Arabidopsis thaliana: one gene and its partner. The protein of the gene in region 1 interacts with the protein of each later gene in a pairwise test. Each region holds a gene or a part of one and is shown on either strand. Other genes may lie near its edges.

Evidence for each region. Proteins that work in one complex are often made in the same cells at the same time.
Region 2: the proteins of AT5G32440 (region 1) and AT3G51180 interact in a two-hybrid assay, tested with the Arabidopsis thaliana proteins (one large-scale study listed by BioGRID).

What each region holds. Positions count from the first base shown.
Region 1 is NC_003076.8:12,075,046-12,079,106, reverse strand, and holds AT5G32440 (Ubiquitin system component Cue protein), read right to left. Parts: upstream 2,215-4,061; 5' UTR 2,094-2,214; coding exon 1,908-2,093; intron 1,636-1,907; coding exon 1,473-1,635; intron 1,362-1,472; coding exon 1,174-1,361; intron 1,074-1,173; coding exon 900-1,073; intron 798-899; coding exon 711-797; 3' UTR 504-710; downstream 1-503.
Region 2 is NC_003074.8:19,011,724-19,016,874, reverse strand, and holds AT3G51180 (Zinc finger C-x8-C-x5-C-x3-H type family protein), read right to left. Parts: upstream 3,487-5,151; 5' UTR 3,156-3,486; coding exon 3,090-3,155; intron 2,509-3,089; coding exon 2,326-2,508; intron 2,233-2,325; coding exon 2,108-2,232; intron 2,025-2,107; coding exon 833-2,024; 3' UTR 528-832; downstream 1-527. Other genes in the region: AT3G51190 (Ribosomal protein L2 family), read left to right, coding at 1-269.

The DNA of each region.
Region 1 (4,061 bases):
TTCAAACCGAGCACATTTAAAACATATGCCTATCGGTTCACCTAGAAAAACCGACCATGAACCAAAGTAACTAAACACCGGTTCGGTTCGATTTCAAAGATTTCAAGTTGGGTAAATATTGCAGGCATGGTTTGAACTGTGGGGATTTCTAAATCACCCTCTCCGTGGATAGAATAACAGACCAATATGTTCGATTAAATTTTCAAACCGAGCTCATCTAAATCATATGCCGATCGGTACACCTAGTCTAGAATAACCGACCATGAACCAAAATAATTCAATACCAATTCGGTTCGATATCAAAGTTTTGTTTCAAGAACTGTTGTGATTGTTTTCTAACAATACTCAAGTCTTTATGGGTCTGTTCGTAAGTTCTTGTGACCGCCAGACTCCAACAGAGCAAAGTGGCTATGGCCGAGACAAAAACAGTCAGCCGATGATGAACGACCGGCGTCAACATCTCTCATTGACGCTAGTATTACCAGGCTACTAGCAACATAACAAACTCTATTCGCTGTTTGTTAACTGATTGAAATAAGTCTTATATCTGTGGAATCCATCATTGAACTCGAAAGAGAATATATACAACAATAACAACAACAACAACAACAAAAGAACACAGTTTTGATTCCCCGAATATATATAAATAGTCACAAACCAACAGAGAAAAATACACTGGAAACAAAATGATACGAGGGCCTCACAAAGTATTAGAAGACGTCTGGATGGTACCGCCCCGGGATGGAACTGTTTTGCTGAGCTTGTTTCAGATGAAGCGTCAGAGCATAGTTATTCACCTGCAAGGAGCAATCAAAACAAAACTTAGAAGTTAGATCTAATCATATCGACAAAAAGACAACAAAATTGTATAAGATAAGGTGAAGACATTTAATACAGACCTCTAAAGTTCTCAACTGTTCCTGGTATTGAGTGACTAGCTGCCTCAGATGCTGCAATTCCTGACTTTGGTCTTCCGATTCTCTTTGCCGCTTCTGCTGTGTCACTACCGCTCGTTTCAGTAAACTGTTTTCCTGTACAATAGCTTCTAATTGCTGCTTCAGCATCATGTTTTCCTGAAAAATCGGATGTTCATAGATAGATATACATCTCTGGCAACAAAACTTCTTATCAACAAAGAGTGAAGAAAGAAACAAAGAAAGATAGATGAGACACCTGTTGGAGATTTTGCATTGCGTCAGTACCAGTACGTGCATTAATTGACTTCTCCAAAGCTTCCAATGCTCTTGCAGCACGGGCTTTGGCGTCTTTCATGTCAGAAGCATTCATCATTTCCCTAACAAAAAGCTCAACCCACTCTGTACCATCCAAGTTCAAGACATTTGGTTCCTCCTTGGCTGATCCTACAAATACCAAAACCCGTTTCATAATTAAAACTTTGTAGAGCGAGTCTACGACTTATGCAGAATACACTGAAACTAGTAAACTGTTTAGAGATCAGTAGGACACAAAACTACCTTGCTGTTGAGGTTCAACATTTGGTTCCTGGATTACAACAGGAGATTGGTTTGTAGCAGAATCAGAATTCTTATTGGCAGATTCTAAACGAAGCTGATTCAAACATCTAATGGCTGAATCAAGGTCATCTCCACATTCCTCGATTGCCCTCTCAAGAATCTACCACACACAAATGTCAACAACTTTATAACACCAATAAACCATCACAGACATCCATAGACATAAAGAAGCCTAATCAGAAGAAACATATGCTCCTCTAATAGGTCCAATAAATCACCAAAAACATCTATCGATATGCTCATTACTGATAAACACAATTGCATAATTTCATTTCAATCTAATCGAAAAACCTAATCAAAGAACAATCAATCAATAAAATGATCCAGAATCGAAACAGGAAAAAAAAGATGGAGATCGGAAAAATGAAGGACCTGCTTATCCATATCGGGGAAAATCGCGGCGAGGTGATCGAGAAGAAGTGAGGAAGAAGGAGGAATCGGAGGAGAAAAACGAGACGAAGAAGATGAAGAAAAGCAACGGAGTTTCTTGGAGACGGGAGGAGAAGCGGCGGCTAAGTCCTCGAACAGAGATCTCTTCCCGCAAACAATCGCAGACATGTTATCTGCTTCCCCCCTTCTTCTTCTTCCTTGAGATCTCTCAAACAAGTCTTTTATCGGATCTTAAAGATGTTCGCAACAAAATGGATCCAACATGTTTAGGAACTCTGACCCTTGAAATGGGTAATTGGTTTAAGAAGAAATTTATAGATTGTATTTTTTTCAATTCGGTAAAACTGGAGATTGATAGAGAAGTTTTTTAATTTAAAGATTTTGAAAAATGGTTAAAAAAAAGGAAAAAATTAAAAATGTCATCTAAATCATTAGTTTTTATTGGTTTAAAGCATAAGTTTTGATTTAGTGATTTCAATCCTCAATTTTATGTTGACTTTCGATTTGATCACGAATTCGTGTTGATTAAGTCAGTTAAGGCATATCGTTAAAAAGTCTCTTAATCGAAAACCCTAGATTCCCAAAATCGAAATTCTTACATTATTGTCGCTGATGCGGCTTGAATATCAAAATTCTAGAGTTGTCGGAATTAATAGCGACACCATCCTTACATTATTTTTAAGCAGCTACTGTCACCGGTTTAAAAACCATTAACGAGATTTGCGGAGAAGACTCTAGAAAAGAAAAAAATTAACCAAAAAAATATTGTTTTTAATTGAGAATTTGGGAATTTTACAATCATCCCGTTTTAATTACTCATAATTATAATATTTAGTTGTTTTCTAAAAGAGTCAAAGGGAGAGTCACACGACTCTAAAAAGAACACATCTCTAATAATTAATAAAATCAATTCAAAATAAAACAAATCATTATACTTAAATTAAAATAAATAAGTTGTTTGGTCTACGATATTTTTTTGGGTGAGTTACTCAAACAACACATAAAAGTCTGTTTATTACTGTCATGTGTTGTACGAATTGTTGATCATTAGATGATGGGTAATTTGTTTTTTTTTTGTTCAAGAAAAGATATATGTTTAAAAATGGTCAACAAAAAAAGCGTATTGTAGCAAAAGGATAGTAGAAAAATGATATTTTTGCAAATCTTCCTTAAAAGATGATGTCATGTCAGTGAGAGAAACTGTATTTCGCCCGCGAAAAAGCACACCATAACATAAGTCTATCGCTGTAGTGACGGTAGGGTTAATGAAACATGGTAAAGTTAATAAATTAATTGAGTTACGTGGTAGAGATATATTCAGTAGAGTTGTGTGATTGAGTTATTTATAGTGGTGGCAGAGTTAAGTTGATAAACAAGTTACATGACATATTAGGATTCTCCGTTTACTCACATAGCATTAGAGAATATATACTGTAACGTGGTGGCAAAGTTAAAAGATAGAGAAATGTAATTGACTTATAAAGTCGAGTAATTTGTAGTGGCAGCAGAATTACTCAGAAAAACATAGTTAATTGCCAGAAAAATGGAAATAAGTCTGTCATAGTGTGGTAGAGTTAATCTGTTGGTATAGTTAATTATAAACTACCAGAAATATCCACATTGATAGCAGACGAGGATAATCATTTTTCGTAACTGTTATGAAAGATAGTTTTTTAATTTGATTACTATATAATAGCACTAAAACAACGTTAAGATAGAAAATCATTAAGCGGGAAGCTAAAATCCCTTATTCCGCCAATAATTAGAAGAAATATTTTACTTAAGAGCAATCTATCTCAGATCTGAAAATTTAATCATCATAATTTATTCATAAAACCGAATAAGACAGAAAAAACCCAAATCTAAAGCTACGTCTCTCTCAATCCACCTTCAACCCCTCAATTTCTTCCCGTGTCCATCTCTAAATCTAAATTTTCACTCTACTTTCTTCTTCAAGTCATTTGCTCTTCCTTTGTTTTGTATTTTGCTCACCCTCTTGCCCAACCATTTTGGATTTTGAATCTCTAGAAGTAGAAGGCAAGTTGGATTCGGTCGGAGAAGGTTTGATGGTTTTGCCTCTCTTTCTCCTTTGAATCTGCGATTTAGATTAGGTTGTCGTTGTCTACTTTTGTAGTG
Region 2 (5,151 bases), on another chromosome or scaffold:
GTGGAGGAAGAACAGAGAAGCCACTTCTCAAGGCTGGAAATGCATACCACAAGTACAAAGCGAAGAGGAACTGTTGGCCTGTTGTACGTGGTGTTGCGATGAACCCAGTGGAACATCCCCACGGAGGAGGAAACCACCAGCACATTGGTCACGCCAGTACGGTCAGGCGTGATAAATCTGCTGGTGCTAAGGTTGGTCAAATTGCTGCAAGGAGAACTGGTCGTCGTAGAGGTGCAGCTGCCACATTAGCAGCCAAGGCAGACTACTAGACTTGAGACACACTCTTCTCTGCTTTCTTGATTTTAATTTCTTATTTCTGTTAACACCCCATTGTAGCCTTTTACTTTAGTTATAACCTCTTTTTGTGTTGAAAGCTAATGAGCTTCGTTTCGAATCTGCCCTTTAAAGGTAGAATTTTGAATTCTTTAATTTATGAGATCTTTTGCGGTCATCTTGATGGTATTTTTTTACTACATATTACCTATACTTTGCAGTACATCTCCAGACTCTAGCTATATATTACAACAGTTTTTTTAAGCGATTACAAAACTCAACTCCGTTAATCGTTTGTTTTAAAAGACCGGACATAGTTTACTACAAATTAATTACGCAGATTAGTTTTGAAATCATGATTTAAATTAATATTGTCCGGCTTTCTCGACCTCTTAAACTGGTGTCATTAAACTGGTGCTCTAAACAAATAACTTTGTTAAATGAATTAAAATTGGTGCGCACAAATTGATCAAAATTGAAAGTTGTATCACCTCAGGTTTTGTTCCTTAACCAGTGATAGACAAGACTATAAAAGTGAACTCTATTTTTTTTTTTATGTTCAAAAACCATTTCTCTCATACCTTCCAAACTTCATTCTCTTAGCCCTCGGAGCCGCGGCCTCAAAGTTGGGCCTATACCGGTCATGAACATAGGTGCAACTGTCTCCCATATTACATCCATTCGCAGTGCCAAAGTAGATACATTGTTGATGAATCTTATTATTATTATCAATGCGTCCGTTGAATATTCCAGTTTGTGAATGGTATTGGTTAGTTTCATGATTATCTGTGCCATGTTCCCTTATAAGGTTTTTGAAATAGTCTAGACCCTTCATAGGTTGTACTACTGGTTTAGCGCTACCAATTGCATCTGCCCGGCTAAAGTTCATTGGATAAGAATTGAAACCGGTTTGAGGACCCCTTCCAAGTCCAATTGATGATTGAACATAGTTCATTTCAGATGTACGGAATGCGGAATAGGGTTGGTGTTGGGGTTGAGGATTTACTATTACCTTTGGTTCTGAGAAAACATTTGGAGGTCGGTGGAAGTTAAGGTTCATTGGCAGAGAACTCGATGGGAACCGAGCAGGCTGAGGTTGTTCTTTAGCTATACCGACATGGAAATGAACGGGCATTGGTATACTAGATGGTTTTCCAGTTATAGGCTTAGGTGGGGATATGCTTCCATTTACAGGCTTGGGAGGTGATACTCGCCTCTCAGGGTTAGTAAAAGACCGAGAAACTGCAACACTGTGTTCTTGAGGTATTATCACTGGCTGCGGCTTTCTAGCCATGGGTGAGGCGGTGACAGCACTGACAGGCTGCGGAACAGGTCTAGTAGCAGAGTTGATGTTAGTGACAATGGGCTGATTCTTAGTTTCAGAGGATTTACCTGATGTGTCAGTGATAAGATTCTTGATTAATTTTGGGTCGCTGAGGAACTTGATAAGTAGCTCAGTATCGACCAAACTCCCTTGTTCCTTGGTTTTCATCAGTGCAGTCAGAGCTGCAGAAGCAGCCAGACTCAAGTCTGGTGCAAGACCAGTAAGACCAGAAACCTGTTCTTGGGTTGAACATAGAGGTTTGGTCTCCAACTGACCCTGCTTGTTTGCGGTAACACCTGATTCAACCTTACTGTTGGATGACTCCTCTGAAGAAGATTCACTCTCGTCTTCAATAGGAGTGAGACGAATGGCAGGAGTTTTGCTGTCATCAAAGCATTCAGCTTCCACAGCCGGTGAAACAGAGGGTCTACATGAAAACAGAATGCAATCAGCAGGCTAACTAACACACCAACACAATGTTGAATAACCTAAGAGAAGAAGGTAAAATACCGAGAAGGGATGGCAGAGCGATGAGGATAGATAGCTTCCAGCACTTTTGAAATCCTCAAGTTTTCATTTTGCCATTCTGAGCTCCCGCCACCACATCCAACCAGCCAAGTATCATTGACAGAGAACTGCATTGTCCAAGACACATAATATTAATATCAGATATGATAAAAAAAGATTCAAAAGGGATTCACCAATTCTTTACAGTATAAAAAATATACCTTGGGAGGAGGTCGTTTCCATTTGATGCGAGGAATGTTTGAAACATTAGGCTTAACTGCATAGTGATTTCCTTCAAAACCAGGTGGAAGATCTGGCCCTCGAGGTTTCCTAGATGGGTAGCTATGACGTTGAGGCTGAGAGGCTACATTGGCAGGACTGTCCTCTGTTCGAAAAACCTTAACCTGTTCAAAATCCGCATAGTTAGAAGCTAACCAAAGCTGACTTTTTCGTGTATCAAAACTATGTAACTAAACCAATAAGGCTTCCCAAGTCTATCTGTAAAAAGATTGTAAATTTGTAGTTGCAGAGTATTGGATTGATGCATTCAAACTTCAAAACTTGATCATATCTTGTTTCAATCTAAATCTAACTGTATGTTGATTCAAATTTCCAAATCCAAAACCTTGAATATATCTTTGTTGATTCAAATCAATTTCATGTAAACTATATGAGCTAAAACGTTATCTTCAAAGATAGAAAAATCAAAGCCTTCTACATACCAAAAGAGCCGTCAAAGTAACAACAAACAAGACTTGGTTTCTTCACCATTTTTCGATTGGATATTGAAATTAAATAATTCAGCGATTCAAGATCGTATCAATCAATTCGTTGGGTTTAAAGGAAAACTTCAAAATCGAAATTTTAGGATCCAGAAATTAGGTTAATTGTTATAATCGAGAGTTTAGATTTGGTGAGATGGATCAATCAATTTGGGATTAGAAAGTGGATAAGAAAACATGGAACATATAAGGATTAATTATACCTGACAAAGCTTAGGACCTGGTGGCCATGAAACTCTGGGTTTCTTCGATCTCTTCATATTATTCATATAAATCTCAAAGAAACAAACCAGTGAAAACAAAATTCGATTCTTTTTGATTCAACCGGTGATCGTTTTTTTATCAGATTCAGATCAAATATGAATTTTTTCTGCTAGATCTACAGATTTCTTAACGAAGCAAATTGAGATTCGAAGGATTTTGATTAGGGAATTGGTCAATACGATGGATGAGTCAGAGATCGGAGAGAGAAAACGGAAACAAGAAAGAGACGTCGGCGGAAGGATTTGGGTGATGATGATGATTGATTGATTGATGAGAAAACCCTAACAACTGTCTCTTCTATTTTCTTTTTCTTTTTAGTACACGGTGGATTTTGTTAGGACGTTCCTTTAGAGACTGTATTTATATATAACGGAAGCAGTTATTTATTTATTTAATTTCGTGTAATTCTCAGGTCTCAGCTAACTCCAAATTATAATTGGATTCCTAATTTATATTTATTTATTAACTCAATTGGATTCCTACTTATTTTAAAAAATTAAATAAGATTTTTTCCTTATTTTTGGCTATTTATTTTTTATTAAAATGGAAAACCAAATTGGCATTACAGATAAAACAAAGTCCTACATTTACAACTTAAAATTGAAATTAAGCCCACTTACTCTAAATCCAACTTTTTAAAAAAAATAAGAGTTAAAAATGCCACTTGTGAAAAAGTATCCACACGTGAGAAGGATGAGTATTGACACGATCTTTATCAGCCATATCTAACGATATGGTTCAGCTTTGTCGCTGGACTTTAGATCCATCATCGCTAGCTCCTTCTATAGGTTTACCGCCGCCGGCCTGCCAAATTTTGCTGTACGTTCTTATAATTCTGGCCATGACTCCAACGAATCTTTAGATCTCAATTCAAAAATTCTTCAAAAAAAGCTCCACCTCAAAACCTTAAAAGGTCCACTTCATACCAGTCTTCATACCAGTCGGTAGTAAGTTACAAGGATATTAGTCCTTTAGAAGAGCCAAGCCGACAGTAAATCATACATAATCTAAACAAGATTTAATTTTAAGTCATGTAGAAAGAGAAAACACAAAAATCCAGCACTTAGACAAAACTAAGTTTGGAATATTTTAATCCGACCAAAACACCGGCTACGCCTGAGTTGAAAGCCGACATTAAATTGGAAAAACAACAACTAGTCCGACTAGAAAATTAGAAGACGAAAAGATAAAATTGACATTTTTCTTTTTGAAAGGTTCAAGAAAGTTAGGAGACGAAAATTGGCACTTTGATTTAGGCTTCGCATTGGAAGAGTTGACGAATATTCCGGTTGGTAGGAGACGGAGATATCATGACGATGTGACGATAATGGTAATCACTCTAAGTAACGATCAACGCAAAGGCTTCTACGACTACGATCGTGTGATTTTGATTATGATGGCGACAAATGTTGGATTGGTAAAACTGTAATGAGTCATACTGATTTCTTTTAGACTTTGGAACTGATCACTATTTTGCTGGGTATTATTTCAGTGCACAGTACATATATTATATCATTGTAGTGGTCGTAGAGCCTAGATTTCATCCGTTTGTCAAAGCTTTAGTCACATGTTCTGTTATTTTTTTGGGCATTTTGGGTGTTTATCCGGTTTGGTTTGTTGTTTTGGATTGTAAGTTGTAACATTGACTGAACCGGTTTTGTCAATTGGTTTAAACTACTAGTGAAATAAAATAAATGTTGATTTGAGAGCTTTAATAAATAAAGCATCTTATTATTATATTCAGAACTTTTACATTAAAGGAAGGGGGATAAAATTGGGAGCATAAACACAGCTATAACAACAGAAAACCATGGTGTCAATTACAAACTTCTTGAGCAAATCTCCCCTGACAATATAGATGCAAGCCGCATAAGTGTTCTCGTCAGCACAATAAATGATGAAGGTGGTCTTGTCATAGATGAAGTAACTAATGCCATAACACTCGATAAATAAGTTTGGCAAGTTATTTGGTAGCAACGTCAACAAGTGAATCCACACAAC